Linked DNA regions of Astyanax mexicanus. The protein of the gene in region 1 purifies or fractionates together with the protein of each later gene. This does not show direct contact. Links are inferred from orthologs where the notes say so. Each region holds a gene or a part of one and is shown on either strand. Other genes may lie near its edges. The genes, in order: chchd4a, ssna1, timm10 and gfer.

Region 1 (7,471 bases):
ATCTTGAGCTTATTTCAGTAGTCAGTACCTCAAAAATATATTTTTACCTCAGTAGTGCTACTCAGGTCACATGTTAGTTAAATGATCCTAAAAAAAAAAGAAAAAAATCCTAATTTTAGAGAAAACACTGCAATATGACTTAAATATATTTTTATTCTTTCACTTTTTCGGCCAAGCATCGAAAGTGCTTTTTTCATTTTCGGGCACCTATTTTCCCTTGATAAATATTCACTGCATTCCTATCAAGCTTAGCATTATGCAGAACGACATTTATTTGCTTTTTTATATACAGTTATTATAGGATGCAGGTGAATTAAGTAAAAGGCAGAAAATTTGGTGTGGGTGTGTCCATATCATAAACCCCAACCCTCGTAAATTCCCACCTACTAGGAATCGCTCAGAGACCTAGTTTTGATCACTGAGAATGTCTTTTTTTTTTATTCTGTATTAAAAATTGTTACACCCCTAATATTTACCAAAATGTCACTGTGTTTAATATAACCTGAGGTTATTATAATTCAGTGTACTGCTGTACTCTACTATGCATTCGCCCTGTTATTTCTCCTAATTTCTGGCTCTATGTTGGATTAAGATAAATTTGACTGTAAAGGAAGTGAGATCAGACAGGTAAAACACGTTATTTGTAATTAATTTCATAGATATTTGTAAGAATTATTAAACCGTATACCAAAAAGACCTGATAGGATAGCTTTCTGTGCTGTCATTTGAAAAGTGCCTCACTTCTTGTGGATCTGTCTTTCTCTCAGATAGTTTATTGGATGCCACTGTAGATGATTTTTGTAAAGATTGTCGCTCTATTGTGATACTTTTCATGATGTAAATACAACTGTGGGGTGGAATGAATGATGGTGACAAGGTTTTGGCTGCTTAAGAACAATACAGTACTTTTTTCATACAGATCAAATTAAAGCAGTATTGAACTAAACATAATGAGAATGTGTGTTTATTTTGGAATAAAATATTACAGATGTGCTTTGTTTAATCAGTTTTTTGAGAATGTTATCTTAAATCATTACATACCAGGTTTGACAAGGTTTTAGACCTTGATTAGCAAATGAGGCCTAAAGACATGCCACCTATTGTAATCAGAAAGTGTCAACTGATTTCAATCTGAAATGATTTAGACAACTTCCAACAGTTAGTGGACGTGACCCACAAGCTGGTCCCAACATAGTCTTTATGGGTTTGTGAAAGCTGTTCACAGTGCTGCAGCTAAGCAAATACCTTAAGATAAAAAAAATACAGTAATCAATGCCCACGTCAGAAGAGTCTAATAGAAAAAAAATAAGAAAACATTTCTGAAGAGTGGAAATTTATCAAGAAATTACAGTTCAGGGGATCTTTGGAAGACCAGGAAAACTTCTGGAGAGAATCACTCATATGCTGGTAAGACAGGCAAATCCAAAGCTCCATTCAACTACCAAGAACTTGAAATAAAGACACAAACTTTTTCCCAAAATTTTCCACACTGCAAAATATCAAATCAAATCATTTTTTCCAACCACATCAGCTTTTACTGGTTACAGCAACAGTGCCCCAGCTAATGCTGCTGATACAAGAGCTACTGCGAACATGTAAATATAAGAAAAGCAATCTCAGTCTTCACCTTCTCATTCACACTTTGTTGACCCCTTAAATGCCTTGAACCTTGTACAAGGACTACAGGTGTAGTTAATACAAATCCCTTTTTCTCTGCAGTAAAATAAGTTATTTACACTCTGGAAACTTTAAGGGCTTTAAAATCTCCTACAGGACACTTGAAGAAGCTGCCTGTTCACTCTCTACTCCACTTAATTATTTCAGATCACTAACAGTCATTTTTCCAAGTGGTACAAGCAGTATATTACACTCACCAACACAAATCCAAAGCATAGGTCAATATACTGTTGCACTATTTAACTCGTTTAAAGTTTAAAGATCTAAGAAAAATAGTTAAATATATATATTTTTTAGTATGAAACTTCTTCTGCTTGCCTTAATTAGTGTAATCCACATATAATATGAAAATGGTCCATCTCACATATTTGTGACCACAACCTGCAAAAAAATAAAACTAAAACAAAATTGCAATGCTATTTTCAATGTTATGTAAAACGATTGTGTTTTATATGGTGATGTTTTCAAAGTAATAAAGTAGAGAAACATTACAGTAGTAACATTATTTATTTTAAGAAAGAATTGTGAATTATCCTAATTGGACCATTACCTTTTAGAGGTTTTAACACCATTTGGTTGCACCAAATATTGATAGAATTATTAGCAGTGGAGTTAGTAATGAAATATTTTGAATAATTAAACATGCACCAGGTCAAATTGACCTGGGAACACCATTGCTGTTCCTGACAAATTAACATAACAGGAGGGTTTACTTCTCTACTTAAAAAGAAAGACTGAAACGAAGAATATCCAGCTCATTGAGCTGCAGTGAGCTCATAGTTGAGTGTGTTTGTAATCTAACAGTGACTTTCTTTCTGCCACATTCGGCTCCAGAATAGCTCAGTATTGACAATGGAGGCAGGGGAAGCTTGGCAAGCGCTCCAACCTCAAACTGTGTGTGTTGCTACTGTAACTATGAGCAACCTTTCAGAGCAAATCCTCTCTCCTTTCCCTTTCAAATGATTTATATAATCTCTCGCCCTTTGCCCAAACATCCCTCTCCAGGTTTAATATCTGAGGCCTTTGTTAAAGCGACACGGCGGGATTGCTGTGAATTGATGGTCAGCTGTACCTGAAAACACTGGACTGACCCCTGATTTTACTGTGTCCTCAAACGCAGGCCGAGTACAACAGCGGCATTAAAGCTGTTGGGTTTTACAGGTTAGATTGGGGCTGTTTGGTTTAACCTCCATTCATAAATCCTTGACTGTGTTTCAGGATTGATGACAATGGATTGTTTTTGCTGCTATCTCTGACACACACACACACACACACACACAAATAAAGGCCTTGTCCTGCATCAGTTTTTTTTGTTTCTAAACAAGGCCAAGTTAGTTGTGCTAAAGAACAAAAGATAAGGCCTGCATCTCATGCACTGATGAGAAAGGCTTGCTTAAAAAAGGGATATAAAAGAGAAAATAAGCAGATAATAAATTTTATCTATTTTCATAAAAAACACAATAAGCCATTGCTCCTCTATTTTTATTTACGATGCACAGACATGGGAATTGTGGGTCAATATCTATAAATGTATATCATATTTGATCCTGATTATTAATAATCACAACCCCTGAGAGCTGCTTGGTTCATTAGCTATGAAACAAAAGGACTTTGAGGCCACGTCTTAATGGCTATGATTTAATTAACTTGTTCCCACGGCTTAATAAGTTGTGGCCACACCTTAATTATCTTGTTGCCAAGCCAAAGGTTCTCGTTCCAATTCCTTAATAAGTCGTGTTATCTATCATATTGTTATATGTTGTCTAATTCTGTGAATTTTCCTGTTTAATGAGCATGTTGGTTCCAAGAATAACTAAAGAAGTCTGTACCTACTAATAACTTGGATGGTGTTAATTGTCAGATTTTATTTGTATACTTGTTTGTTTAATACATAATAAAAAATAAAATAAAATAAAAACTTGCCTAAAATAGGAAGACTTACTTTTGCCCTATTATACATTTTCCGGGGATTTTTATTATGAAATAACTGGTCGCCAGTATGTTACATAATAAAAATATTAAATAAAATAAAAAACTTGCCTAAAATGGGAAGACTTTACTTGTGCCCTATTACATATTTTAACGGGGACTTTTATTATGATACAACCGGGCGCCAGTATGGTACACACTAAAAAAATAAAATAAAACAAGCAACGTAACTCAGTACAGTTCATACGAGACTGTAAAATTCCGCGTTTCCACGTCGAAAGCCGTGGGAGGAGGAGCGTTTAGAAACGTGAATATAATAGTAATAATAAGACGATCATGAATAATAAAAAACTTTACTTTACTTTTGCCCTCTTATATAAATATATATTTTTATTGGGACTTTTGTTATAAAATAACAGAGGGCCAGTATGGTACACAATAAAATATTTAATTAAAAAACTTGCCTAAAATTTGAAGACTTTACTTTTGCCCTATTACATATATTCTTTTTCTGGGACTTTTATTATGAAATAACCGGGCGCCAGTATGGTACAAAATAAAAAATTAAATAAAATAAAACTTGCCCAAAATTGGAAGACTTTACTTTTCTCTATTACGTATATTTTTTTCCGGGGGACTTTTATTATGAAATAACCGGGCGCCAGTATGGTACACAATATTTTTTTTTTACGTTTTCCTCAATAAAAAAATTAAATAAAACAAAAAAAAATTGCCTAAAATGGGAAGACCTGATTTTTTCTCTATAACATATTTTTTCCGGGGAACTTTTATTATGAAATAGCCGGGCGCCAGTATGGTAGCCCCCGTGCCGCTGTGTTGAGTGTCCGGTGCTGAGAGCAGGCGTGTGCGGGTTGTGCCGGTGAGCAGTTTGGGACTGAGAGCGCTGAGAGCGGGGCAGAGCGGGGCTTTCTGCGGGTGATCGGTCCTCTCCACTCACCAACATGTCCTACTGCAAACAGGAAGGTATGATCCGGCTCAGATCTGCTGATCTGCTGCTCTGCGTTCCTCAATGTCATCGGGCTTTAGCCTGCTAGCCCGCCATGTGTTCCTGTTCCCTAGCTTTATCCAATCACCATCACTCTACAGCATTAAACACCTGCTAGAGGCAGAGTACCTGAACACAGGGCTGAGTTACTGCAGTGTGCGGCTGTATAATGATCTGATAACTTCAGTTAGTTCAGTTATGTATGTGTGGTTGTGTAAACTGTAGCTTGGAATATTAAGTAACAAGCTAATAAGTAGCTAATCATCTACCTGTTCCTGGGGTCAAACTCTGTGACCTCCATGGTGTTGTGTAGAGACACAATATAGGGATAGTATGAAAAAGTGTGTCTTGAAAGTGTGTAATCAGCTTTTCAGTTCTGTATCAGTGTCTGATGCAACCTACAGGCAAAATCTCAATTAGATCATCCTTATCATGATCATCATCCTTATTAGGCTTATCACATTAACCACATTAACAGTATTTTGTACGGTATTTTGTCTCAGAAATGATTGCGATAAACCATATTATCATTATTTTAAGGTCATTTAAATAGCACTGTATTTATGATGATATAATAGCATAAAAAAAACATTATATCATTTAAAAGAGACAACAAATTTGTTAATCAATAATCATAGTTTGGGAAATATATACACTTTTTGTTCACCTACTGCAGCCTAGACTGTGTGTACAGAGTCGCAGTTATTGAAGAAAGTTTAGAGCTCCTGTGTTTCAAAAATAAATATATATACACATATACTTTATGATAACATCACAGACAGAAAAAATACAATATATTGCAATATTGATCATTATTCCCCAGCCCGGGTTCAGATTAGCAAAAATTTAGTTTTTTCTTGTTGTCAACACACCTATTCTAATTAATTAGGACATATATTTGTTTGTTATATTAAATTGGTCCTTTTTATTATATTTTATATATTTTTTTAGAATCATCAGCATGGTCCAATTTGGCCAGTTTTCAATGGCCTCGCTACTAGTTTTTTTAGGGTATAATTCTAAGTTATAAAGTTATAATGGGTGTCCAGACGCTCTGTAATTTGTAAATGTGTATATTGGCAGATATATATGTGCGCAATATCAGATATGGACATTAACCTATAATTCGCACATCGGGGCGTCACAAGAGAGAATGTTCATTCAGTTTATTTAATAAATGTATGAATGAATGGCTAAAGTGGTTGCTCAAGTGGGCGATATGAGGAAATTGTATAATTATTGTGATCAGTTTTGCTACAGCAGCACAAAAGAAGTATGAGAATCATTGATATTGTCTTTGACTATTAGAAAATACAGCATAGTTACAATGAATTGTCCTAAAAGCTTGTGTATGTGTCTCTGTGCTGTTGTCCATAGAGTATATATTGCATTTTATTGCAATATAATCACAATATGTTTAGACAGTATTTATACCATGTTGGTAAATGTAGTAGTGGTGGTGGTTGATATATGCGACACCATGTTAACGCTAGTCACCTGAAACATTAGCTTACGTTTACATGTATACATTAAAACTAGAGGTCAGATAAGGTAATCATATAGAAACACCAAAGTCCGGGCTCACAAGGTTGGAATTGCATTAGATAAGTTTGATCAATGGTCATTAATGCTTATACAGTGTTGATATAAAAATATAATAGTATTGCAATATGTTATGCAGGTTACAATGGTAGAAAATCCCAAGATTGAGCATTTGCTGGAATTGCTTTTTCCCAGACTGAATGTACTCACTCTTTTTCTCGTCTTCATGGCAGGTAAAGATCAGATCATCTTTGTGACCAAGGAGGACCACGAGGCCCCAAGTAATGCCGAGCTGGTAGAAGATGACCCTAACGATCCTTATGAAGATCACGGTGAGCTTCTAACTTTATTTAGTTTATAAGTATCACGTTAAAAGGGAGGTGTGTTCAGTTTTCTAACTGATTACGGAATAATGGCACTCTATTCCAAATGCTCAAGCCTTTTCCACAGCCTTTACACAACAACAGCTTTAATAGTGCAGTATTAAAATAATTATACAAATAAAAAACACCTTGCTAGCATTTTTGGGCGAAGTACTGAGCTAATATTAGAGCTAATGCTAAGACTGCTCAGAAGTCATTTTAATCAGATATATGCTCATATTTATCATTTTTGGAGGAAATTCAGTACCAATCGTTAGTTCATGCACACCTTAAATTGAGTGTTTTTTTTCACTTATGTAAAATGTTCTGCATTGTAGATTAATACTAAAGTCATCCAAAGTATGAGAAAAAATAATTTAATATATAATATTTAGTAAACAAAAAAAGTGTTAAACAAAGCAGAATATGTTTTACATTTTAGATTTTGCAGGTTTGCATATCTTGGCTGGATTTTCTCAGTCAGCTTTATGAGGTAGAGTCAGGCTTTCAGTTAACAGCTGTGCTGAACTCATCAAGAGTTAATTACTTGAATTTCTTGCCTCTTAATGTGTTTGAGATCATTAGGCAATATCCCTATTTTAGCCCTATGTTCCAATCCATATTATGATAAGAACTACTCAACTAAATAAAGAAAATACTTTAAGAAATAAAGGTCAGTCAATGTGGGAAAAAAAAAAAATCATTAAATTACTTCAAAACAGTAAGATGAAACTGGCTCTCATCAGGATTGCCTCAGGAAAGAAAGACTAAGCCTAAGAAACTGTAAGTTAACAGCTTCCCAGATAAGAGCACCTAAATGCTTATTCACAGAGTATTTTGGTTTGTTTAACAAACAAGTTATTACATTATTTCTTATATATTTCTTTATAGTCTGGATGACTTCAGTATTAATTCTCATAGACTCGTTAGTTTTTAAGCATTTTTGGGCAAAGTA
Region 2 (8,137 bases), on another chromosome or scaffold:
CTACTGAATACTCATATAATTCTTTAGAAATATTATTAATTAATTTAACCATACACATCTTGATTCAAAGTAAACCCAAAAGAACTGTGACAGTCACAGGCCCTTTAAAACTTGTGTAAGGTTTCTTACAGCACTTACAGCATTTACTTTATATACTGAACGACCTGAGAGCATCACAGCACAGTTGGAAATTGTGTGATCAAGTGACCTTATTTACAGAATGTAGGAGTGCTAAGTTAGTGCTTGAGTTAAAAGTAACTATTCTTAAATGTGTATATTTTTTAAAAAAAGGTCATTTGACTTTTTACCTCGAATGATGCTGAAAAGCTCATCGATCCTCATGTTAACGTAAATGCGGCAAAAGAACTGGTGCATGTGGCAGCGCCAGCGTTGGAGGATGGCACTGCCAGGCTGGTCAGGTTTTCCTTTGGCAGCTACAGAATCAGTGCCAGCCTCGTCCACTTCACTGGCAAAGACTCTGCTCAGCCAGCCGAGCACCTGCTCCAACCACTAAAGCACAAACAGAGGACACTAATGTGCAAGAATTTATAACATTTTCAACAATAACATTTTCATGTTACTGTATTTAAAAAAGCTGTTATTTATGTCTCTGGTGTCATTTATTAGGACAGTATAATCTATTAATATAACACAGTTATTATTTAATAATAAAGAGTATAAAAAAACCCTCAAATTTCTGCAGATCTTTAAGTATAGGTTTTCATGGGATGAAACTGACAAAATGACACTGACACAATGAAGAGTAGTCTGTGTGTAGATTATATGACAGTGTATTTATTCTTCCCTCAAAATAACTCAATAACATTTCGTTTAGACATTAATGGCTGTACGTTGAGTTATTTTGAGGGAAGAATAAACTTACACTGTTATATAATCTATACACAGACAAAATGACACTGACACAATGAAGAGTAGTCTGTTTCATCCCATGAAAAGATATACTTAAATATCTGCAAAACTGTGAGGAATAACAAACATAGATTGTTCAGTCCTTAAAACAAAACAACAAATTGACCATTAAAATATATGCCAGAATCCTCATACTTCATTGAAGTCTGCCAGAAAGGAATTCTCATATTCTCCCCGGCACCGCTGCTCCATCCTCTCCTCGATCAGTCGGTGCAGAATGCTGGTCACTGCTTCCGAGCTAACCCTCCCCAAGAGCTGCAGTCTGGATCTGCCACACACCATTATAACAACAACACATAAAAAGTTACATCACAGCACCCAATGCTTGTACATCTGTATGGCAAATTCTTCTTTTCCAGCATGGAATATGTAATCATATTGATGTCTTCTCTTTTTACCATGGTGCTGTAGCAGAACTATATCCCACCCATGTAAATTACATTACACTATATTACAAAACAATGCAATCCCAATATTCCTGCACTCACAGGATGTGGCTAAGCTCCTGCAGCTGCTCCAGGGCCTCCTTGCACCAGCACAGCTGAGGTGGGGTTGCACAGCCTGGACAAACACAGGCCCCGTCAGCCTCCTCTGCTCCCTGCTCCACCTCCAGACCCTCTCCCACCTGGCTCATGTGCACAGAGAAGGTGCGACTGTAGAACTCCAGCACCCTCTTTTGGAGCACTGGCTGAGGAGAAAAGAGGAGGATAGCACGAATGACCGAGAAGGCCCTCTCTCGGAGCCCATGGGCTCCAGGGCCCACCAGACCCCCACGACCTTCATCCTGCCAAGACCCAAGCTGCTCAAGCCCACCTGGAAGTTTAGAAACAGATGAGAAAAAGGAAAGATGATGAACGGTGATGAATAATGAATAATAATAAGGTTTGTTCACCTGCAACTGAATCAGCACATTTCTGACAAAAATTGCAAGCATTCAAGCACTGCAATCTCCATTTGATTTAGAACAGTACCTACAAAAACAGAAGAAAACATAGCTTACCAAGAAATGGTTCAAGGCGCAGCAGCAGAGTCCTGAACGCATCTAGCAAACATCTTGCTCTGTCTTTCTCCTGTGAATCTCCTTTAGGCTGCTCTAAATTACTCCAGAACTCCGGAGCCACATCAGTGGTCAAACGAACCTGCAAGGTCTCCAGCAGCCAGCCCTCCACATACTGAGCCAGCCCTTGTTCACACAGCAGAGCCAGAGCATCAGAAATAGTGTCATCAGGAACTGAAGGCGGTACTGCAGGAGAAACCTACAGGATGCAGATGTGAGTTAATTTTTTTTTTTCTACTATTTTTTTAAACATTGTATATGTGTATACATTTAAGATATAACAATTAAGGGACACGTGAAATTACAAAGTAAACAAAAAAGTGTTTGTCCTCCACAATCTCCTGGTCTAAACCTGATTAACTAAGATGGCAATTTGGGATGATCTGGAGCTTTACAGTATGAAGGAAAAGCAGTAACTATTGTTCAGCCCCTCCAGAAACTCCTTCAAGACGTTGAGAAAACTATTCCAGGTGACTCTCCCTCATAAAGACCCTGAGATTAAAATACTGTACCAAGAGTGTGCAGATCTGTCATCAAAGCTAAATGTGGTACTTATAAAACATATACTGGTTTGTTTAACACTTTCAATTTAGAAAATATTTCAGAATATGTTCCTGTATAGCTTTAATATTGTCTTCAATATTACATTTATAATGTAAAAGAAAAAAAATCATAGAAAGAAAAGAAACACATCACGAAAAAATATTTTGTTAACGCAAAAGTGCCCTGAAATATCGTAATATTTTTGTCAAATAGAGCACAATTAGTTGGGATATATTATTCATTGGCTAATGTGTGTTTGTACCAAGCATCTACATTAACATATACGAATGTAAATATACATTTGCAAGCATAAAACGCTTACACCTCCAAAACTATTAGAATTGAAAGAGCAAAAACTTGACAAAACTTGACTGTTCTTGCATCACAACATATATATAACTGTAAACTGGAGATCAGTGCAGCCAGCTGACCCTGTCTTTGTGCTGTACTGCAGGATGTTTACACTATTAGCAGGCTAGCTAGCTAACCTAGACTGTATGTATCAGATTAAGAATAGCCCGAACTACATTCCTACATCATAATAATAAACGTTACTCAGCTCAGTGATAACCCTGAGGACTGTCAGTGCCTATATATCTGCACAGCAGCAGCTCACCAGAGCAGCGGTGACCGCGGCCCAGGCTGCAGGCAGACCCGGGGGAACCAGCACCGCCCCGCCGTCCTTCATTCCCCCAGCTCCGCGGGTCCGACCACCGCCTACAAACATACAGCCCGCCGTCCCCGCAGCATTTCTACCGAACAGCCCGCGCCCCGAGGTTCTGTACCGCCGTGTGCAGTGATTACAGCGGCTTAGCTTCAGCAACTCGAGCTATACGATCTCCATTAGCTCTGGTTCTCCTGCTGCTGCTGTTTATTTCCGCGCTCTTCTTCAAGCTGCTGTCCCTCAGTGATGACGTCCACGACCCGATGACGCTGAAAAGGCTGTATTTTTTTATCCACAGGAAATTACATGTCTAAATGTGCACACAAAATACATTTTATTGTTAAACACAGTGTCTTGTACATAGACCTACTTGCAAATGTAAGATATGTGACTAAAAACATTCATAAAAACTAATTGGAACACTGAAAAAATACCATTTGTTACCTGTATCCCCACTTATTATAACCTTACCATAAAATATACAGCTCTGGAAAATATTAAGCAGCTCCAACTTGTTGCAAATGTGGTAAAATGAAAAAAGCTTAGATTTTTCTTTTCACAGTTTTTTATTTTACATTTGACTGGGAAATACCTGTATGATAATGAAAGTGAAATGGCAAAAGGCCATTTTAAATTGCAAATGAAGGGTTTTAATTTTGTTTGTAATTTTTGCCATTATATTTTCACACGTTTTGAGAAACAAGTATGCAAAATGGATTTACATCCTATACAACAGTGCTGATCAATCCTTCGGTCTCTATTGAAAACAAAACTGGACAAAATAAAAACTTGATTAGGTAGCTATTGTATACAAGCTTTTACGATTTACAAATGCCAAAGCTATGAAGTAAAACCATGTTGAGTAAAAAAATCTTTATATATTTCTATTTAGCAACCTAGAAAAATGAGAATAGCTTCAGAAAGGAATATTAATCTATTATAAATACATATTTAAATAGATTTCCTGACTAGACAAACCCAGTTTCATGCAAAACTGTTAAAAAAAATAGTTAAAAAAGAAACACTAGCTTAGCCGCGCCCACATCACTGGAAAAAACAAGAGCGTTGTACTTAAATTCAAGGGATAAGATTGTGGAATCATTTGGAGAGTGACGTTAAATATGCTAGAACAATGTATGTGTTAAAAAGAATGATAAAAGTTGGTTTGTTTAAAAAAAATTAAATAGTATAATGTGTATCTATACGAACTGTTGTTTGGGAAGGATTTGATGTTTTTGTTTAGTTTTGTTTTTTTGGTAAATTACTAATGTTTGAAAATATTCTTGGAACAAATGAGGCAGATATTCTAACATTTTTTTTCTTCTTTCTGCTGCATTTGATTTTATTTGTGATTTGTATTTGTATATAGAATTAATTTTGTTTATAATGAAATTAATCAATCTTCTAAAAAAGAATAAAAGCTAATTGATGCAAATGTTATGTACTTTTTATTTTGTATTATTTTTACTGTGTAGAAATGGTTTGTGAAATTAAAGGTCAATATCAAATTTAAAACACAGGCTTCCAGTACAATGGACATAAAAAAAACTATTAGATATTTTAGTTAATTGGATTTAACTGGACGTCATATTAGAGTATTAGATTATTATTTTTTGTGCATTTTTTATTTTATATTTTATATTTATATTTGTATATTTTCATTGTAATATAACGCTGAAAGGTCTGAAGGGGTTAAAGCTGTATTTTATTCCTCTCCAGTCCAGCAGGGGCGGAGTCGCGCTGAACTGCAGTGTCTCCACCCGCCATAAGGCGCGTTATTTCAGGAGGAGAAGAAGAAGAGCTGCAGGCTGAGGTTGTTGTAGAAACAGAAGGAGGCTGGAGTCAGAGGGAGTGAATGGATTCAGCTCAAACTTTCTATTAAGAGTGAAGTTACAGCTGTGCGATAAACTTGTATATACGAGGAGTGTGAGGATTTTAGAGATATCTAACCTATCTTATTTAATCTAACTTTACTTTACTGCTGAGCTGAAACTCAGTACAGTCAGCATGACCCAACAAGGAGCCGCTCTACAGACCTACAACAACGAGCTGGTGAAGTGTGAGTAACTCTACATTAACTCTGTTATATTAATAAAGTCTATTATAGTAATGTAAAACTGTTAAATTAAAGTTCTGACTGTGTTTTACTGGTTGTTTCAGTGACTGTCGGGGTTAATGTTAATGTTGAGCTATGTGAGCTGACAGTTGGTGGACTGAGATTAGCTGAGTTAGATTAAGTAAACTAGGTTAGGTAGTTTTAAGGTAGCTGCTGTCAGACCCAGCCTTACTTTGCAGGCCTTCCATTAAAATTCATGTTATTTAGCTATATATCTTACTATATACAGTACCTTCCAGTCTAACGTTTGTTAAAACATTCCTATATTTATATATTATTTATTTGTATTATTTACTACATTGTAGCATGAGTTATCTTTTACTGAAAAAATACAACATGCTATAATGTTAACAAAATGTGAGGTTTTCATTTATAAACAATTTAAAAAGGCGAAAATTCAGAGACCACTTCAGTTTCTGAATTGGTTTCTCTGATTTTGTTATTTATAGGTTTATGTTTGTGTAAAATGAACATTGTTGTTTTATTCTATAAACTACAGACAACATTTCTCCCATACAAAAATGTCATTTAGAGAATTTATTTGCAGAAAATGAGAAATGGCTGAAATAACAAAAGGATTTAGAGCTTTCAGACCTTAAATAATGCAAAGAAAACAAGTCCATATTCATAAAGTTTAAGATACATTTTTGATGGAATAACCCTATTTTTAATCAGTTTTATGCACCTTGGCATGTTCTCTTCCACCAGTCTTGCACACTGCTTTTGGATAACTTTATGCCAGTCCTGGTTCAAAAATTCAAGCAGTACAGCTTGGTTTGATGGTTTGGGTTGGCCTATATGGTTATATTGATATAATATACACTGCATGAAATAAAATTGCCACCTGGATTTAAGTAAGTAAATGATGTGGGGTTGATGCTGCAGTAGGTCAGGTCTAGGTTAAGCAACAGTATGTGCTGAAAGAATGAGGGCAACTGAGTCCAGACCTTAACCTCATTGAGAATCTTTGGGATGTGCTGAAGAAGGCTTTGTGCAGTGGTCAGACTCTACCATCATCAATGCAAGGTCTTGGTGAAAAATTAATGCAACACTGGATTGAAATAAACATTGTGACATTACAGAAGCTTATTGAAACAATGCCACAGTGAATGTGTGCTGCAATCAAAGAAAAAAAAATTGGTGGTGGTGTTGCCTTTTTTATTTCTTTTTTTGGGCCAGGTAATGTTTACACATGCTTGTTTGGCACACCCCTATACTTAGTACGAGGATTTGCTGTACTATATCAAATAAACTTACACTGTCTGTAACTACTCAGTGTTCATAAAACACTAAAGAACAAAAATCTTATGCATTTATACTACAAACTGAATCATTTATTGCGTATACTGAGTAACAGGTCTTGGAACTAAAATTAAAAAAGGTAGGGTTCAAGAGGTCAGGACAAAGCCAACACACCCACATCCCTCCGTCATTATCACTTTTACATGATTCAGCAAGATGTCTGCTGTGATCTATAAGTAAACAAACTCCCACTGAAGTTCCATTACCTGGACTTTGCAGTAATTAACTGCGTAGATCATGTTGATGCTTTACTTGTCATAGTGTTTGTGGATACTCCTTCCAAAGAATGCATTCAGCTATTTCCAGTTGCACCCAGTGCTGACACAGACGTGCAAGTGCACACAAATATAGCTTGTCTAGTGCCTGTGGAGAAGTATTGCCTATAGAATAGGACAGATAAACATGAACATGTTGGCACCATGCATAAGGGGATGGGATGGATTAGGATGGGGAGTTGTGTGGTCACTGTTCTTGTCACTAAAGGCAATTAAATTCTCACAGCAATGCTCCAAAAGTCTTTCCTGGACAGTAGAGATAATTGTTTCAAAAATTACTTCAAAAAAGCAGAATAAACAAAGAAACAACGACTGAGCAAGATGTCTTCATCGTTTTGGATGTATAGTGGATGTACATTAGGAGTGGGCAATATGGCACTAAAATTATATCATGATATTTTATGATATTTTCGCAATAATGATACTTTTGGCAATATGACAAAACGCTGAATAAAAAAAACAAATATTTCAAGAACACACTACTGCAAAAAAAAAAAAGAAAATATTGTTTTATTATTGAAATTTTATTATTTATTATACAAGAATTTTATCAGATTTGTAACAGAAGTCAATGATCCAGAATGTCATGATATTAATAATGCACTCCAAATATCTCCATATATCCAGGATTAGAGTAAAAGAAATAAATGATACTGGACAGATATAATTTGTCTTTAGTAGATATATAATGGGAAATGAAAGCAGTGTGATTTTTTTTTTTTGTATAAAAACAGTAAAAAAATAAATAAATAAAAAATTGTTATATAATTAGGGGTGGGTGATATGGCACCATATTTCAAGGTATAATATTGTTCACAATTTAAAAAATGTACATGCATTAGATGTGTAAAACCTATTGTAAGAGCAAGTTGTCCATTTATGCTTAATATCACAGTTGTTTCTTCTCAGGTATCGAGGAGCTGTGCTTTAAGAGGGATGAGCTGAATAAGCAGATCCAGCAGGAAGAATCAGAGAAGGCTCGTCTTCAGCACGACATCCGGGTGCTGACTGAGAAGCTGAGCCGGGTGAACGAGAGCCTGGCCCACCGCCTCACGGCTCGAGCTGAATTCGACCGCACCATCGCTGAGACTGAGGCCGCGTACATGAAGGTCAGCATCCAGGCATTTAAAAATAAATAAATAAATACATTTTGTAAATCCTGGACAGTGTTTGAGTCTTATAATTGGCCCAGTAATCCTGGGCCATGTCTACTGTGTGCAGACACTTCTGTGAGAGGATAAGAGCCAGTG
Region 3 (8,243 bases), on another chromosome or scaffold:
CAGTTGTACAAACCACTAGTGGCTCAATAAATTCAGCTGCAGTAAAACAACAATCTGAAGGTGCATCTCTGAGGGATTCTAAAAGACTTACTAAGGACTCATCTAATGTTATACACCAAGAATTGGTCAAGCAAATATCAGGCTCTATTCATGGTTCCAGTTCCATTGCTGACAATAATGGGATAGATTTAAGTGAGATGAGACTGCCAAGATGTCTTTCACCTCTTGCATCAGAAGACGTAGTCACTGATGGTGATCGCCAGAAACATACAAAACTGGCCTGTACTGTCCTCTTGAGACCAGTTTCAATGCACCTGATTTCTTCTCCCCAGACAGAAACACTCCCTGACAAAACTGGCCATCAGAACCCATTGACTCCTCCATGTATAAAACCAAAAACTGCATCAGTGTCTGGTCGAAGTACACGCAGTTTGAGGTCATGTCAAGGTTGCATCAAAGATACCAATGATAGACGACTGGAACAGGTAATTACACCAAGCCTCAATAAGAGCAGATCTACCAAAAGGTCCAGCATTGATGTTTCTCTTGATGAGCCAAATAAGAAAAAACGTATGATGCTGGATTGTAACTCAAGTGGAGATAACACTAAATCAGTTAAGGTTGTGACAGAATGCAGTACAAGTAGAGAATCTGTTGTTGGCATCAAATCTACAAAATGCAGTGATTACTCTTGTACTGAGAAGACATATTGGCTCAGACCTGGTAAGACAGTCAGAAGAGATCAGACCGATCAACAGTCCAAGAAGAAGGTAACAAACTTGCAGACAAACCAGTCTTGCAAAAGTAAAGATCAAGTAGAATGCACCGAAGCTGTGGGTAAAAAAGATTCTGTTATGGTAAAACGTGGACATAGAAGACATCCTAAAAAAGAAAAAGACCCTGTAGAGTTGCAAGACAACACATCTGTGCACCAAGATTCGCAAACAACAGGAAGCCAGGTAAACCAAAAGCATAAAGAAAAAGAGGCACCAAAAGCAAAAATACTTTCAAAAGCTATTTCTGATGTGAATTTGAAGAAGAAAGAACAAAAAAAATCCACCAGGCATGCTAGTCACACTAAAAGAAAAGGTATTGTTGATCAGGTTTTCCACCAGACTATTTTTACTGTTGGAAGCACTATTGCCGGGAGTTTACCTTCCATTGATCAGAAGCTACAGTCAAGGTCCATGAATGCGGAGATTGCTCAGATAGCTGAAAGGAAAAGAGGCATTGGCCCACCACTGCCTCACATCGTTAAAAAGTTTAGAACACTTATAGACCAGGATCACATTAGAGGAAGAAAGTTGGTGATCAGTGAAAAAGAAGTGAATGATTCAACTGAAAAAGGCAAGATAGAGAAGATGATCAATAAAGGAAAGATGGATATGGACCAAAGTGAAAACGACAAGAATGTGGAGTCTGAAAACAACAGTGAGCAGTTGACAACAACCAAAAAGGGAAAGGGATGCTTGGTTGATGAAAACTTCGGAAAGGAAATGGATAAAAACCTAATTGATACAGTGTCTGAATCTATAAACTCCCTTAATGGTTCTTGTTCTGTCGATCTCAGGACTGTTGATGTGAATTGTAATCTCGATTCTGATTTGCCTACTGTTCTGTTAGCAGGGAATTTTGATATTAACTCCAGCAAAACAGATGACCTTCACAGTGAAACAGCTAAAAAATGTCTAGAAGACACTGAGAGGACCTCAGACCAGACTGATGATATCCCTTTAAAAAAAGATGCCCAGAATCACCAAGACTTCAACCAGGATTGCAAAAAGCAGCAAGTAGAATCAAACGAAGAAATGGGAGCCCTTGTAAAGGAAATCCGTATACAGAATGAAGAACATGAAGTTGAGGGAAGTGATGTTGACATAGAGGTGATGGAAGTGAGTGCTCTGGTTGCAGCAGCAGGTCATGGAGATGAGGCAGCTACTTCTGCCTGCTACGGTGGCAAGACTGAGATTGAGCTGGAGAAAAGTCAATCTAGTGTCGGGAAGAGTAATGGAGAGTCTGTTTCTCATGAGGCGGCACTAAGGGGGCCACTGCTCATAAGGACTGAAGTTCTGCATATCTCATCAGATGAAGATTACAGTAGTAAGTGAATTTTAAATTACATTATGGACTTTATTTTGTATTATTATTATGCAGAGGTTAGATACGCAAGCCATTCTGAGAAAGGACACATTGTAGAGAACAGAACATAAGTGAGTGAGTTGTCAATGCAATGGATGTCATTAATGATGGAAATTCACCATATTTGCGTAACCTATCTGGACCTGTAAAGATGGCAATTCAAACCAAAAACAGGAATGGTAGTGTCCATAAATGCACACTACCACACTAACTAGTACAAATATTGCACTTCTATTACAGATGTGTTTAGTAATGTATTATATGAAATATAAAAGTGTATGGTTTGGGACACAGTCATGGGTTTTTTCAGAGAGCGAGCTTTACTACAACTGCAACATGCACACTTTGTTTTTATAAAGCAATGCAATGTTATGTTATGCAATCATAATGCATACCTGCTTTTGGCTGAATCTTAAATACCTCCTCCCTCCTTACATACTGAACTACATAAGTTAAAACCACAATGTCTAAATGTACGGTAGATAGCCCTAAATTTCAAAATGAATAAAGATAAGTGGTGTTCTATTACAATTAAATGACGTTCTGTTTGAATTTAGAATACATAATCTTTCTTTATAAGGTATAAGGTACCCCATATAGGGCTAGCATGGAAGTGTTTTTTCCTCTATGTGGACGGAAATATTTAAAAAAATGGAGAGAGGGAAATACCCAGATACCTGTGAAATGTAGCCTTTATTTATTGAATCGCCTTGAGAATTCTGTCTGTATGAGAAAAATGGCAAGTACAAATGTATGTACAGCTCTGAAGGAGGAGACATATATCATGTATTTGAATGCATTACTGTGACATTATTTTGTTACATACAGAATACTTTACTTTTGAAGTAATGTCTGAGGAATGTGGCCCCTGTTGGATATGATTGTTTGGTGTTTTATCTTAAGAAGAACATATCAAACACCTAGTAGATATGAAAGCGAAAATCATTTCCTATTTTGACAAAGCTATTGTTTTAAAACCTTGGCTCACTGTTGGTTTTGGACAACAAATCTTATCAAACATCAGAAGAGAATTAACCTCCAACAGATCGTTGGCAATGCAGCGATGTTACTGTGTTTTTGTAGATAGCAATCTTGGAACAGACTTTCTCCAAGTTTATGGCGTTTTCGCCAGCTAAGGTAACTCTTACAGAAAAAGATTGATCGGATAACACTTTTGGCGTGAAGGCCACACTACTAAGATTTATTTAAATTTCATTAAGTAATAATTATCTTTGATGTTTTTTATTCATGTTTTTATGTCGCAGCTTTAATGCATACAGGATTACCAGCAATCACAGCCAACAAAGAAGAGAAGTCTTATCTCAGCATGGATTCCTCAACACTTGCAGTTAAACATGGATGCAACATTGAGACAGAGGGCCAGAAGTGTGGGGATGATGATGATGATGATGAGGAGGAGGAGGAGGTAGTTGTGGATGACCTCTCAAGCTCTCCTCCTGTTATTTTGGCAAATTCTTTAACAAATCAAGAAAGCATGACTGTTCTGACAGATGAGGAACTGAAGTCAGAGGAAGAGGAAGATGTTGATGTGACTGGATAGGACACAAACTGAACTCATCCTGATGTTTGCGAGAAGGAATCATCTTGAGTTTTCAGCAAAAGTGAGTCTAAATTGAATCTATAATGTTAAAGGCTTCACCAGTTAATCAGTGTTTGATTAATATCCAATGGTTCGTATTTTTTTCGTTGTTGTTGCGGTATTGTTCAGTTATTTTATTGTTTGTGATTCTGTAAATATGTAAATATGTATAAATATGAAGGTAAAAGCTGGCAATGTTGGTTTGATTAGTGATGTTCAGAGATTTCCCTGCTGAAAAAAACAGCATTACCATAACAAGCTTGTTCATCTGGTTAAGCTGGTTAATTCTGACCAGTTTTGTTGGTTTCAATGGATTAGCTGGTCTACAAACCAGATCATTCTGACCAACTGGTCTACTACCATAATTAAAAGAACTATGCTGCTTGCCATCAGTAGCCAGAGTCTGAGAGAGCACAATTAGCCATGGAAATTGGGCAGAAAAGGGGGTAAGAATGGAAAAATAAATAAATAAATAAAAGTAAATAATGTTGAAAGCCATATCTAACATCCACTATGCTGGTCAAAAGCTGGTTCAACTTTTTTTTTCTTCTAATTCTAAACTCTTAAGGACTACCACTGTCCCTAGTAATGCTCCCATCGCTCTGTGGACATACAGCAACCCAGCTCTGATAGATACATCAGCTAACAGACACCTGTGCTGCTGACCGACATCATCATGGTAGTGATAAAGGGGGGAGAGCATAGCCAGTTGTGCTCTCTTTGACTCCGGCTGCTGATGGCAAGCAGGATGACTGCAGATTTGCAAATTGAGCATCTTAAAGACCAGCTGATAAATCTCAAATTTATCAGAACCTGATTGAGCTGGATTTTTCAACAGGGATGTGTATTTTACTGGGCCACAAAATACTGTGATTTCTCTTTTTATTTTTATAGTTTATTAATTTAATTTTATTTATATTTTTTTGGTTGTTTGTTTCTTTCAAAAAGGCTATATAATGTTTGGGAAAGATTAAAAAATGTTACGGAATTGCCCATTTGAATCCCAGAGTATTTTTGCTATCAGCAGCCAGAGTCAGAAAGAGCACATGCATGTTTGCACAGTTGTTTAACCTCTTAACAGGCCAGGATTTTTTTTTATCAATTGTCTTCCTTACATTACGCCACTAAATCCTGAGTGTTTCTATTTAAACATTACATAAAAAGCTTTCATGTTTCATAAGGAACATTAGAGTGAAAACAGGCAGATTCTCCAAGTGTCCTGTGCAATTTTTCAGAATGTAAATAAGTTATTTTTCTACAAAAAAATGTTTTTTTTTTATCAACTTACGAGGCAAGGCCTGTTAAGGGGTTTAAAGGGCATATTTAAAAAATAATAAATAAAAAAACCTTATTGCACAACACTGACATCAGTCGGTTCAGAGTGGTAACTGCAGTGAATCAGAGGGAGCCATGTTGACCCAGGAAGCAGTGTGAGAGCTGGGCGGCCCCACGTGTGCAGCTCTCCGGCTCTGAAGGTTAAACGCGCTGTCGGTTCTGTGAGAAGCGGAGAGTCCACGGTGGAGGAGAAGCCGGAGACCCCAGCTACAGAGATGGACCCCATGAAGGCACAGCAGCTGGCGGCGGAGCTGGAGGTGGAGATGATGGCAGACATGTATAACCGGTAATATGAACAGCCTGTACTTTACTAGCTTAGCTTGCTTTGTTACCCTGCCTAGCATGGGGTTTAGCCACTGAATCATTTGATTGAGTCCGGGGGTTCGGCTCTTCTCTGTATTCCTCTCTTTATTAACCATAATCTTGATTTTTCTAACTTTGTTTCCTTTGCATACATAACATTTTTTTTTAATATTCACATTTTTAAACGGTGCAGCACATTGATATACTTTTGTTTTACTGTTTAAATGCATTGCTAGCTGTTAAAGCAAGCTGACTAGTATTTAGACTGTAGAATATTTTAGTTTCTACATAACTTGTTCTTCTGGTAAACACTGATGATAAACATTTCTATTATAGACCACCAGCCATTTGGCATGGTAGCTTAGTGTAATCTTGTTAGTTTGAATGGGGGATTCTAATAATAATTCTAACCCAATACCTTCTGAAGATTCCTTGCTGCTCCTCCTCTTTTATCACTAAGGAACTGCAGCCACTCTGCAGCTAATAGCAGAATGATTGTAGAGTTTTATAAATATATCTTGTAATTGATTTTCCCATGGTAAAATACAGTAAATGAGCAGCCCAAACGTTTCCAATAGTGTCAAGGTCCGTGACCTCCTTCTCCTTCAGTGTGTCCTCCTCAATGATGCAACAATGATTCTTCACGAGTCAGGTCACCCCTAAAAGAAAAGCATTCTTTACCTCAAGGGTAATTAGCCCCCCACTTACTTACAGGTACTAAAGGGTGACATCCAGCATAACTCAGTGGTTTCCTTGCTCAGACACTCCAGATTTAAATTGTTAGTCAATTAGGTACAATGATGGTAAATTTGAGCAGGACAGCCACGAGTTTTCTACATACCCACTCTACACGTTTTGAGTATACGCTTTGGCATTAAGAGTTTAAATCACCATCTAAATACATCACAGAACTGCAAGTGAATTAAGTATATATATTTTAAAAGTATACTTAACTTGGAAAAAACATACTAAAATTAAAGTATGTACTTAAATGCATATTAAATGTGCTACTTTGGCAATAGTACTTGTAGTAACTTGAGTATATTTCAGTTGTAATTAAAGGTAAGCTATATTTAAACACAACATAAAAGCATTACATTTTGTATTTGAGTGTTTTTTTCGTACAACTTCTGCAAACCTAAGTAGATTTAGGTATTTGTTTTTAATACACTTGAAGTATATTATAAATGTACTACTTTGCTTATTGATGCCCATATTGTGTACACCTTAATAGTACTGGGGGGAAAAACACACTAAAATGCACTTTGAGCAGTATTTAATGCCACTATATATTAATTATGGAAATACAGAGAATGTTTATTTAATGTGTATTTTCATAAAGTATATTAAATTGAAAATGCACTTTTAGTATTCTTTACCTAATTTAAACATACTTTTAATACTCTTAAGTATACTTCATTTTCACAAGGGTAGTCCTAACATTTTAAAGGTGGATGTTTACAAAACAAACAGGAGGACAGATCCAGAATCCAGAGTTAATTTCGCTATGTGTTCAAGAAGCTCTGGGCCTGCTACAGAAGGTCTGAATGGAAATGGTTTGCTGATACCAGCAGAGTATATATCGGCAGATTGGGAACTGTTCAAAGCCTTTCTCTGTCAGATTTAAACAGAACTTAAATTCAGAGTTAAGTCTGTTCAGTAGGATATTAGCTGAGGAACATTCCTATTTGACAGTCTTGTAGATTGTAGATTATTGTAGATGTCCTTTCCCTTTGAATGCATCATGTATTCTCATGGCTGGTATCTGATCACAAATAGTTGCCGTGACACCACTGTTTAAACGGTGATAGCGGCATGTATTGATCTTTCTGTGGTACAAAAAAAAATTGAATCCCTCGGGCTGTTATGGATCACATGGCTTCAGGAATGAATGTAAGGATTTTAATATTTGGTCCTTGTTGCTTATTTACATAAACGAGATAGATGACCCTTAGAAGAGTATATTTTAAAGTCAGATGGGCAAAATGGCAAAACTATTGTTAGAATTCGTAAATGTTTTTCACATACTGCAAAAATAACTAACAGTACTGCCAGATTAAAACTTAAATACACTAATTGCAAATCCAAATTTTCAGTTTGTGTGGGCTTTAACAGAACTAATTCTACTTTTCTTTTTCTTTTCTTTTTTAATTAAACCCTGTATACAGGGTTCGTACGGTCATAACAAACTTGGAAAAGTCATGGAATTTGAACATAGAAATTTCCAGGCCTGGATAAGTTTTGGAAAAATTAAAATACCTAGAAAAATTTTAAAAAGTCAATTGTGAGCTAATCAGTAAATCATAAGGCATTGACATACTAAATATGCAGAAATGTTATTCAGCTAGTAAAATGTCATGTTTCAAAGTTTGTTTTTTTTAAGGAAAAATATAGGCCTACTATAATCAGTTTTGACATGGATTTTTTATTTATTTAAATTTTTCCATGTCTGTACTGATGTTTTAAAGAGTGGATGGTCATGAAAATTTACTTTTGAAGGCATTTGTTTGGAGTTCTGATATTAGTAATCATGCTTATATGAGCATATTGTGTATGTCAGTGGAAAATTCTGGTATTTATTTTCCTGTGTGTTTATGAATACACAGTGGAAATCATTTTTTACATTTGAGATTCTTAAATATTTTCTCTATATTTAGGATCTGTTGCACTAAATAATACACCTTCCTAATGTTTTATTGTTGCTTTCTAGCAGAGATTACATACTTTACTGTCATTAGCTGTATTTATTTAAGCCAGATATTAAATACATTGCTTACAATTTTTTTGTTGAAGTGGGAACTGTGTATTTAAGCTTTCTCCTATTCCTTCTGCAGCATGACCAATGCCTGTCACAGAAAGTGTGTCC
Region 4 (7,756 bases), on another chromosome or scaffold:
AGACACATGTGAAGTCAGCCACCACCTCTTTTTGAACTGCTGCTGATGCAGCATTGCTGAGTAGCGTCACAGCGCACTCGGAGGAAAGCGCAGCGACTCGATTCTGATAAATCAGCTCACAGACGTCTTGTGGTGATCAACATCACCCTTTGGAGTAATGAGGGGAAAGACCTAGAGAGAGCAAGACCAATTGTTCTCTTTCAGGGCTCAGGCAGCTGATGGCATGCTATATGACTAGGATTCAAACCAATCTCCCAGTCATAGTGGCAGCTCTTTAGATTGCTGGACCCTTCAGCGGCCCAACCATATTATTTAAAAAAAAAAAAGTATTATTTCCAAAATGAACAACCAGATATAAGGCAAATATGTGGAACATATTAGACAGATATGATGGATGCAGACTGCTACTCACGTATAAGCAAGGCATGTACACTCTGTTGCCAACAATAACATCGATAAACTCGTCCGGTGTGCAGTCTTCTCTAAATAAAACCTCAGCATTGAAGATTTCTACAAAATCAAGTTAAGGTAATAATGTTCCCATATTGTTATTCCCCCTAAGAGAGACAGTTACAGACACAGACAATGTGATAACGTTTGAACTACCATAAAATAAAAAAAATAAAAAAAAAGGAACAATCTATGAGTAGTGTTGGGCAAATGGTCGGAAGCACCACATAAAAGAAAAAGCAAAGTACAAAAGATCCCTTTTGTTCCCGTCATATATATTTATAAGTATGTCGTTAAAAAATAAACACACACACACACACACGCACACCTTCAAGCAAGGCAACTGCTACCTTATTGGGAAGAGCCCTGTACCTCCATTTCTGGGCTGTTTTAAACAGGTATCCCCCCCCTACAGTATATATGCGATTGCCATCACTCTTTAACATACACAGTTAAAATTTTTCCACCGACATGGACTGGCATCACTCTGGTTTGCGAACCTAAATTTGAACTGGTTCGACATGTTTCCACCAACAAAAGTAGGTTCCAGAACCAGGAATGTTCGTTCGTAATGAGAACCAAAAAAATACTGGGTCCTTCAGTGCAAACCATGTTCACTGCCACTGTGCAGCACCCGCTGTTGATGTCGTATAATTAGCTGATTTGAGAGTTCCCACTAAAGCTGTTGGAAACATGGTCTGGTTCACTGAAAAGCACCGTGAGGAACCAGAGGTTATTTGACAGAAAAGAGCCAAATGTGTACACGTAATTAACATATATTTTTGTTGGATAGACTCATTCAGGTTAGTAAAGCTCAGTAATTTATCCCGTCTTACTCTTTTAGGACCCTACAGGTAAGTTTGAGCAGTGCTAAACAAAAACAGGTAAGTATATACAATTGTCTGTGTCACTAACGTGTCAGGGGTACCTTACATCATTACCAACACAGACAGCAATGCTGATAAAGGATACTGTATTCATGAAGAATGAGCTGAACAAGCTTCTCTGAACAGTATGTGAGAGGAAGTGTTGAATTGAAGGAGAGGCCACCTCCTTTCTTAGGCTGAAATGAGAAGAGAATATTTTGTAAGACTTTTGTAAGAACACAGTTCAAGGTCCAAATCAGAGGATATGTATCATGCAAACTGTTAAATGTTAAACACCTTAAGTACTCCTGAATGCAGGAAGGTAAAGAATGTAAAAAGTACCTTGAAATAAATGTTTGGTTTGCACCGGTTGAGTCTGATGCCAACAGATTCAAGCTCTTTTTCAAGAAGTTCCCTGAAAGATTAAAAAATAAATCATAGGACACTTTATCTTTTTTATTCACTATGAGGGTTCCTATGAGGAAGAAATAGCCAGATAGAAATATTATAGACAATACTCAATAAAGGGTGCACAATATTTTGGTGGTGTGGCGCAGTGGAGAACACCACTACCTGCTAGTGAGCTACCACATCTGGGGTTCAATTTCTGGTCTGGATGACTAAATGCTGCACTACACCAATAAGTGTCCTTGGGCAACTTTTGTAATAAAAATAACCTTGTAAATAACCTGGATAAAAGTGTCAGCTAAATGCTGTAAATGTATTTTTTTTTATTCCCCAACTATTGCTGCTGCTGCCAATTTCATTTTTTCATTATTTTTAGTTAATTTGATAGGAGCTTCCTGTTTCTGAATATGTCTAAGATTTTATTCATCCCTGAGGGCAAATTTGCAAAAAAATATATCTGTTTCTGTATATTCAGTACATTTTCTGTTTTATTTATAATATTATATTGTATATCTAAATGTATATCAGTCCTACCCTGTTCTAACTACCTGAAGCTCACCACAAGCATTTTAACTGCACATGGGCTAGTCTCATAAATGTTTATTTAAAAAACTTGTCCACGTTATGTACCATAACTGCACAATATTAAAGACATCTGCATACCAAGTGTAATCACATGTGGCAAGTCACAATCCATGACCAAGTCTCAACGAGGCATATTACTCACCTTTGAACCTCTCCTTTGGTTGCATCCAGCATCATGATAACCACATCTGCAGTTCTGGCTACAGCTATGACCTGTCTACCTCTGCCCTTTCCTGTATGGAAAACAACATTAACTTATTAGAATCAAGAAAACAAGTGCAAACAAAAATGTCAACATCCACTAACATCCAAAAACCACACACCTTGAGCAGCTCCTTCAATAATTCCAGGCAAATCCAGCAGCTGTATATTGGCACCTTTGTACTGAAAGAAAGAGAGCATGATGAAACATTTAAATAATTTAAAATCTCCAGAAATATAAAAATTCAAATTGACAGGTACCTCAATGACACCTGGAATGCAAGTCAATGTAGTGAACTCATATGAAGCAGCTTCACTTTCTGTCGATGTCATCAAGCTAAGAAAGGTAGACTGCAAAAGAATTGATTGTTAATGCAAAATAACAAACTGTATAACTGGTAATTAACACACATACACAAATAGATACTCTGATTACCTTGCCAACTGATGGAAACCCGATTAGAGCCACCCTGGCATCTCCTGATTTCATAACATCAAAACCTTCACCTTTGGCTCCTGCTGATTTTGAAGGCTCCAAAAGTTGTGCTCTGTACTTGGCTAGCTTGGCTTTTAGCAGACCTAGATGGTACTCCGTAGCTGCAAACATGTTTAACACAGATAAGGACATACTTTTTTTTCACTACACCCCACATCCATTTCACACCGTTTTTCTCCTTTAAAATAAAGTGAACTTTGTAGTTGAGACTGATTAAGGGTATTATTCCTATTCCTAAATAAACAAAACAGTCTTACACTTCAATCAATCAATCAACCTTTATTTTGCCTCGGAAGTACATTTAGGGCAACCCTCATCTTTTAATAAAGCTAAGCATTTACAAAAACAGGGATTGGCATGACAATTAATAACTACATTTAATAATATTAGATTAAAATAAAATAAAATAACAATAACATTAAATAAACGAAAAATAGATAAAATAATACAATAAAATAATAATTAATGGTTTAATTGATAAGAAATTAAGATCAAATTATAATGCTTAGTAAGACAAACACCTTGAAATTAGATATTTTCGCTTATTAAGATTTTGGGTTTTCGAGGCGGTGCAAAATCACCTTCCACAAAGATCCAACAGCTGGCTGTAGCTGTACAGGTATACAGAAGTGCCAAATCCAAATCCATGAAGTCAAAACCCACCCCAGTATTTTGTGGCAGCTGTCAGTGTGATTTAGCTTTAGAATAGATCCACATTCATGCTGCCGGACTGTACAAAACAGTGGTGTGGATTTGTACTTTCGGGACCTGGATTTAGCACCTTCTAACGTGGCAGTCTGGGCTGGCCGGCTAGCTAAGCTACCTTTGTTTTTCTGTGTCCGAGAGATTTCTCTCTCAATCTCGGCTATCTTCTCCAGAATCCCCATGCTGAGGGAGGGGTGAGGTCCTCAGGACGGTGAAGAGACCTGTGAGAGGAGCAGCTGAACAGAAACACAGACAGACAGACCGCTAGATTAGATTAGCTAGGGTAGCTAATAGAAGCAACTAGTAACTGTAGATAGATAACTAGCAAACTTATCGAGCAGTTTTACAGAAAAGCCGCTAAACGATGGCATTTCCGGCTTCGACATGCACATGAAAATTAAGATATAGGTGTTTATTTGTGGGTACTTTAGAATTTAACACTCACGTATAGAAATAAGAGCTGTAAAAGTTGGGAGAAACCGAACTCACTCTCTAGCAGCACCGGAGAGCACGCGGTGTCGCTCTGTAAGCTGTCCGCTGAAAACACGGCTTTGCGGACTGATCGTTCCGCCTGAACACGGACTAATGCTAGCTAAGTTAGCTAGCCAGTTTAGTTATTCTAGAATTTGAAATAGTATCTAAACTGTTATAAATCCGAATTTAATTGCAAGATGAGACGTTTTCTGATGTTTCTAAACTGACCAAACGAGTCTTGCCCTCTTCCATGGTACGAAACGTAGCTTTAAATCTAGCTAAGCAAACATTAGGTTAGCTAACAGCTAGCTATCTTACGTTAGCTAAGTAAGCTAACTAACAGCCGTCATGGCAGCTCCGTCAGGGTCGCGGTACGGGGACAGTGACAGTAACAGTAACAGCACTGGTATGGAGGGCTTCCCCTTCCCTCCACCTGTCAAACCGCCTGGAGAAAGTTCAGAAAAAGAACAGGGCGTGAAAAAGAAGCCGTGTCGAGCGTGTACAGATTTTAAGTCATGGATGAAAGTTCAGAAGAAGCAGGCTGCCCCAGGTAACCCAGCACAGGTGAGTGACTGACTGGACAGTGTGGTGAAGTTTCCTGAAAAATAAGAGTATCATTGAAAAGTTACTTTATTTCTGTAAATCAGTTCAAAATGTGAAACAGTGAAAACCCAAAAATCAGTGTCTCAGAAATATAGAATATAATTTAAGACCAATTGGTATTTTTGGCAGTGTGGACAGTGTGCCAAGTCCTGCTGGAAAATGAAATCCGCATCTTCATAAAAGTTGTCAGCAGAGGGAAGCATGAAGTGCTGTAGGATTTTCCGGGAAAACACTGCTCTAACTTAGAACTTTGGGTATAACACAGTGGACCAACACCAGCAGATGACATGTCTCTCCAAACCATCACTGATTGTAGAAACTTCACACTAGACCCAAGCAGTTTGGACTGTGTGTCTCGCCACTCTTCCTCCAGACTCTGGTCCCTTGATTTTCCAAATGAAATGTAAAATTTACTGATGATCAGTGATGGTTTGAAAAACCCTGTCATCTAGGGGTGTTGATCAAGTGTGTAATATCAAGCCCAAAATCATTGCAGTGTTTTCCCATAAAATCTTACAGCACCTTATGCTTCCCCCTGCTGATTTCATTTTCCAGCAAGACTTATCACACTGCCCACACTGACAAAATCTTATGTAGTATTAAGCCATAATCATCAACAATAAAAGAAATAAACACTTAAAATAAATCCCTCTGTGTGTAAAACATTTATATAATATATTAGTTTCATATTTTAAACTGAATTACTGAAATAAAGCAACTTTTTAATGTCATTTTTTGAGATGCACTAGTATGTATCTTCTAAACATACAGGTATGAGTTGTCTTTTCACAGCAAGTTATGTTTGTTTAAAATAATTACATATTCTGCATAGAGTTCTGATCTCTTCTTTAAAGAAAACTTGTTTTTAGTATTGCTCAAACTGATTTCATACTTTTAAAAGTACCTGGCAACCTGGCTATTTAGCAATTGTGCACACAGGTTAAAATCAATAAGGTGAAATTCCACATGGTATTTGAAGATCTCATTCATGTCAGCCCCAGACAAATTTACAATTATTGTTATCATTCATACATACTTGCCACCATCCTGCACTAAAAACATTTATTTTCTTTTTACTGGTTAATTTGACAGTTGTCTTAATGACGAAAGTGTCATCTGTCCACCAATAGAAATGCTTAAAAGTGGCTTGGAATAAAATATTTGAACATTAGCTTCCTATAAAAGTTACGATATTTTTTATGTACAAGGTTATTTCATGATGATAATATACAGGCTAATACAGAAAGCCAATACTCTATAATCCTTTTAGTATGGTCAAGAGATGCTGCTGACTCGATTTGATGCTATGAATCGTTTCCTTATTAAAAGAAACAAACAAAACAGTTTACAGTTTACCAATTTACTCTGTGGGCCAATAAATGTAGAAAATACCATCTTGGCTAAACTAGAAATTTTGCTTTTAGGAGACTCAGGTGGCTGAGGAGAAGCTGGTGGAGTGTCCCCTGGACAGGGAGGAGCTCGGGAGGAGTTCATGGTCTTTACTCCACACTATGGCTGCCTACTACCCTGATACTCCCAGCACATCCCAGCAACAAGAGATGAGCCAGTTTATCAACCTGTTCTCAAAGTTCTTCCCATGTGACGAATGCGCTGAGGACCTGAGAACAAGGTGGGATATACACAGTATTTAATATATTAGCAGGATTGATCTAGCTGTCTGCAGACATGCACTCTATGTCAAAATGTTTGTGGACCCCCCCTTTTAATAAATTCATTGCTGACGTAGATGTGCACATATATAGAAATAGCTTGTTTAATTTCTATGGAGAAGTATTTGATTGTGTTCAGTGACAAAAGCCTTACTGAGGTCAGGACTTCACTAAGGCTTTTGTCCCCTCACAACAATGCTCCAAAATCTAGAAGAAAGCCTTCTCTGCACAGTGCAGACAGTTACTCCAGCATAAGCAAGATAAACTCTTTTTTTTAGAACAAAGAATGAGCAGGTGTCACAATACTTTTGTCCATATAGTGTTTTGTCTGCCAAATTTATTTGACTCTTATCTCTCACGAAGTATCAAGCTTATTCAGACAATTAAAATATATATATATCCAGCATATATACATATACTGCCTGAAGAGTTATTACTGGGGTTGGATGCTTTATTTTTAGTTTTAATTGTTGTTTTCCCACTGTGCTTTTGGCTGTATGTTCACTTGAGCATCTGTCCCCTTTTTGACTCATCGTTTCTATCTGTTGCCAGATTGAAAACAAACCAGCCAGACACCAGCAGCCGCCACAACCTCTCACAATGGATGTGTCGTCTCCATAATGGCATCAACATCCGATTAGGCAAGCCAGAGTTTGACTGCAGCAGAGTGGACGAGCGGTGGAGAGATGGCTGGAAAGATGGCTCTTGTGATTGACACTGACATGCCCTCCACAGCTGATTCACTGGAAAACACAAAACAGAACCATCAGCTGCTTTGAACTTTTTGCCTTGGGCTATAATAACTGTTGTTGGAAGCGGCTATTGTGTCTCATATACCTGATATGTTGTACATGATGTTATACATATTGCTGCTGTACACAGGCTTGTTGACTACTAAGACCAACATGAAATTTAAACAAAATAATCAGCTATTATGACTTTCTTTACAACCAGCTTGGTCAAGAACTGGTTTACCAAAATATAAGTATTTTGTAGCTTGGATGACCAGATTTCAACCACATTGACCATCTAAAACATGGCAGACCTTTTGATTGCAGCTCAATATTTGACAGTTGTCCCAATTTGACCCGTTTCCTCCAACATAACATTTATAATGCTATTCTTTTGTCGTTTTTCACTTTTTAATGTGAATATGGAAGTGGTTCTTAACATTAAATCTAAACCTCATTTAGAAATGAAATGTTGAAATGTTCCAAAGTTGGAATAGCTTTGTATCTTGACTTTCACTGAAAGTTAAGGAAGTTTTTTTTCTCCTGTAAACAAAACGTTTTGGAGAT

The links.
Region 2: the proteins of chchd4a (region 1) and ssna1 purify together in Homo sapiens (co-immunoprecipitation; 3 studies listed by BioGRID and IntAct, with this or other methods). This does not show direct contact. The link is inferred for Astyanax mexicanus from reciprocal best matches to the Homo sapiens genes CHCHD4 and SSNA1.
Region 3: the proteins of chchd4a (region 1) and timm10 purify together in Homo sapiens (co-immunoprecipitation; 4 studies listed by BioGRID and IntAct, with this or other methods). This does not show direct contact. The link is inferred for Astyanax mexicanus from reciprocal best matches to the Homo sapiens genes CHCHD4 and TIMM10.
Region 4: the proteins of chchd4a (region 1) and gfer purify together in Homo sapiens (co-immunoprecipitation; 3 studies listed by BioGRID and IntAct, with this or other methods). This does not show direct contact. The link is inferred for Astyanax mexicanus from reciprocal best matches to the Homo sapiens genes CHCHD4 and GFER.

The regions. Positions count from the first base shown.
Region 1 is NC_064431.1:28,413,575-28,421,045, reverse strand, and holds the start of chchd4a (mitochondrial intermembrane space import and assembly protein 40), read left to right. Parts: upstream 1-4,411; 5' UTR 4,412-4,568; coding exon 4,569-4,590; intron 4,591-6,387; coding exon 6,388-6,486; intron 6,487-7,471.
Region 2 is NC_064408.1:19,791,901-19,800,037, forward strand, and holds the start of ssna1 (Sjoegren syndrome nuclear autoantigen 1), read left to right. Parts: upstream 1-4,961; 5' UTR 4,962-5,201; coding exon 5,202-5,253; intron 5,254-7,796; coding exon 7,797-7,996; intron 7,997-8,137. Other genes in the region: anapc2 (anaphase-promoting complex subunit 2), read right to left, coding at 309-510, 1,066-1,198, 1,419-1,743, 1,931-2,186, 3,147-3,257. UniProt on the Homo sapiens protein: Microtubule-binding protein which stabilizes dynamic microtubules by slowing growth and shrinkage at both plus and minus ends and serves as a sensor of microtubule damage, protecting microtubules from the microtubule-severing enzyme SPAST.
Region 3 is NC_064414.1:44,291,967-44,300,209, forward strand, and holds the start of timm10 (mitochondrial import inner membrane translocase subunit Tim10), read left to right. Parts: upstream 1-5,136; 5' UTR 5,137-5,289; coding exon 5,290-5,360; intron 5,361-8,211; coding exon 8,212-8,243. Other genes in the region: uncharacterized protein LOC111195959, read left to right, coding at 1-2,100, 3,405-3,700.
Region 4 is NC_064410.1:54,128,405-54,136,160, forward strand, and holds the start of gfer (FAD-linked sulfhydryl oxidase ALR), read left to right. Parts: upstream 1-4,533; coding exon 4,534-4,749; intron 4,750-6,212; coding exon 6,213-6,418; intron 6,419-7,010; coding exon 7,011-7,173; 3' UTR 7,174-7,756. Other genes in the region: drg2 (developmentally-regulated GTP-binding protein 2), read right to left, coding at 413-510, 1,423-1,513, 1,659-1,731, 2,452-2,542, 2,633-2,693, 2,772-2,861, 2,947-3,107, 3,830-3,893.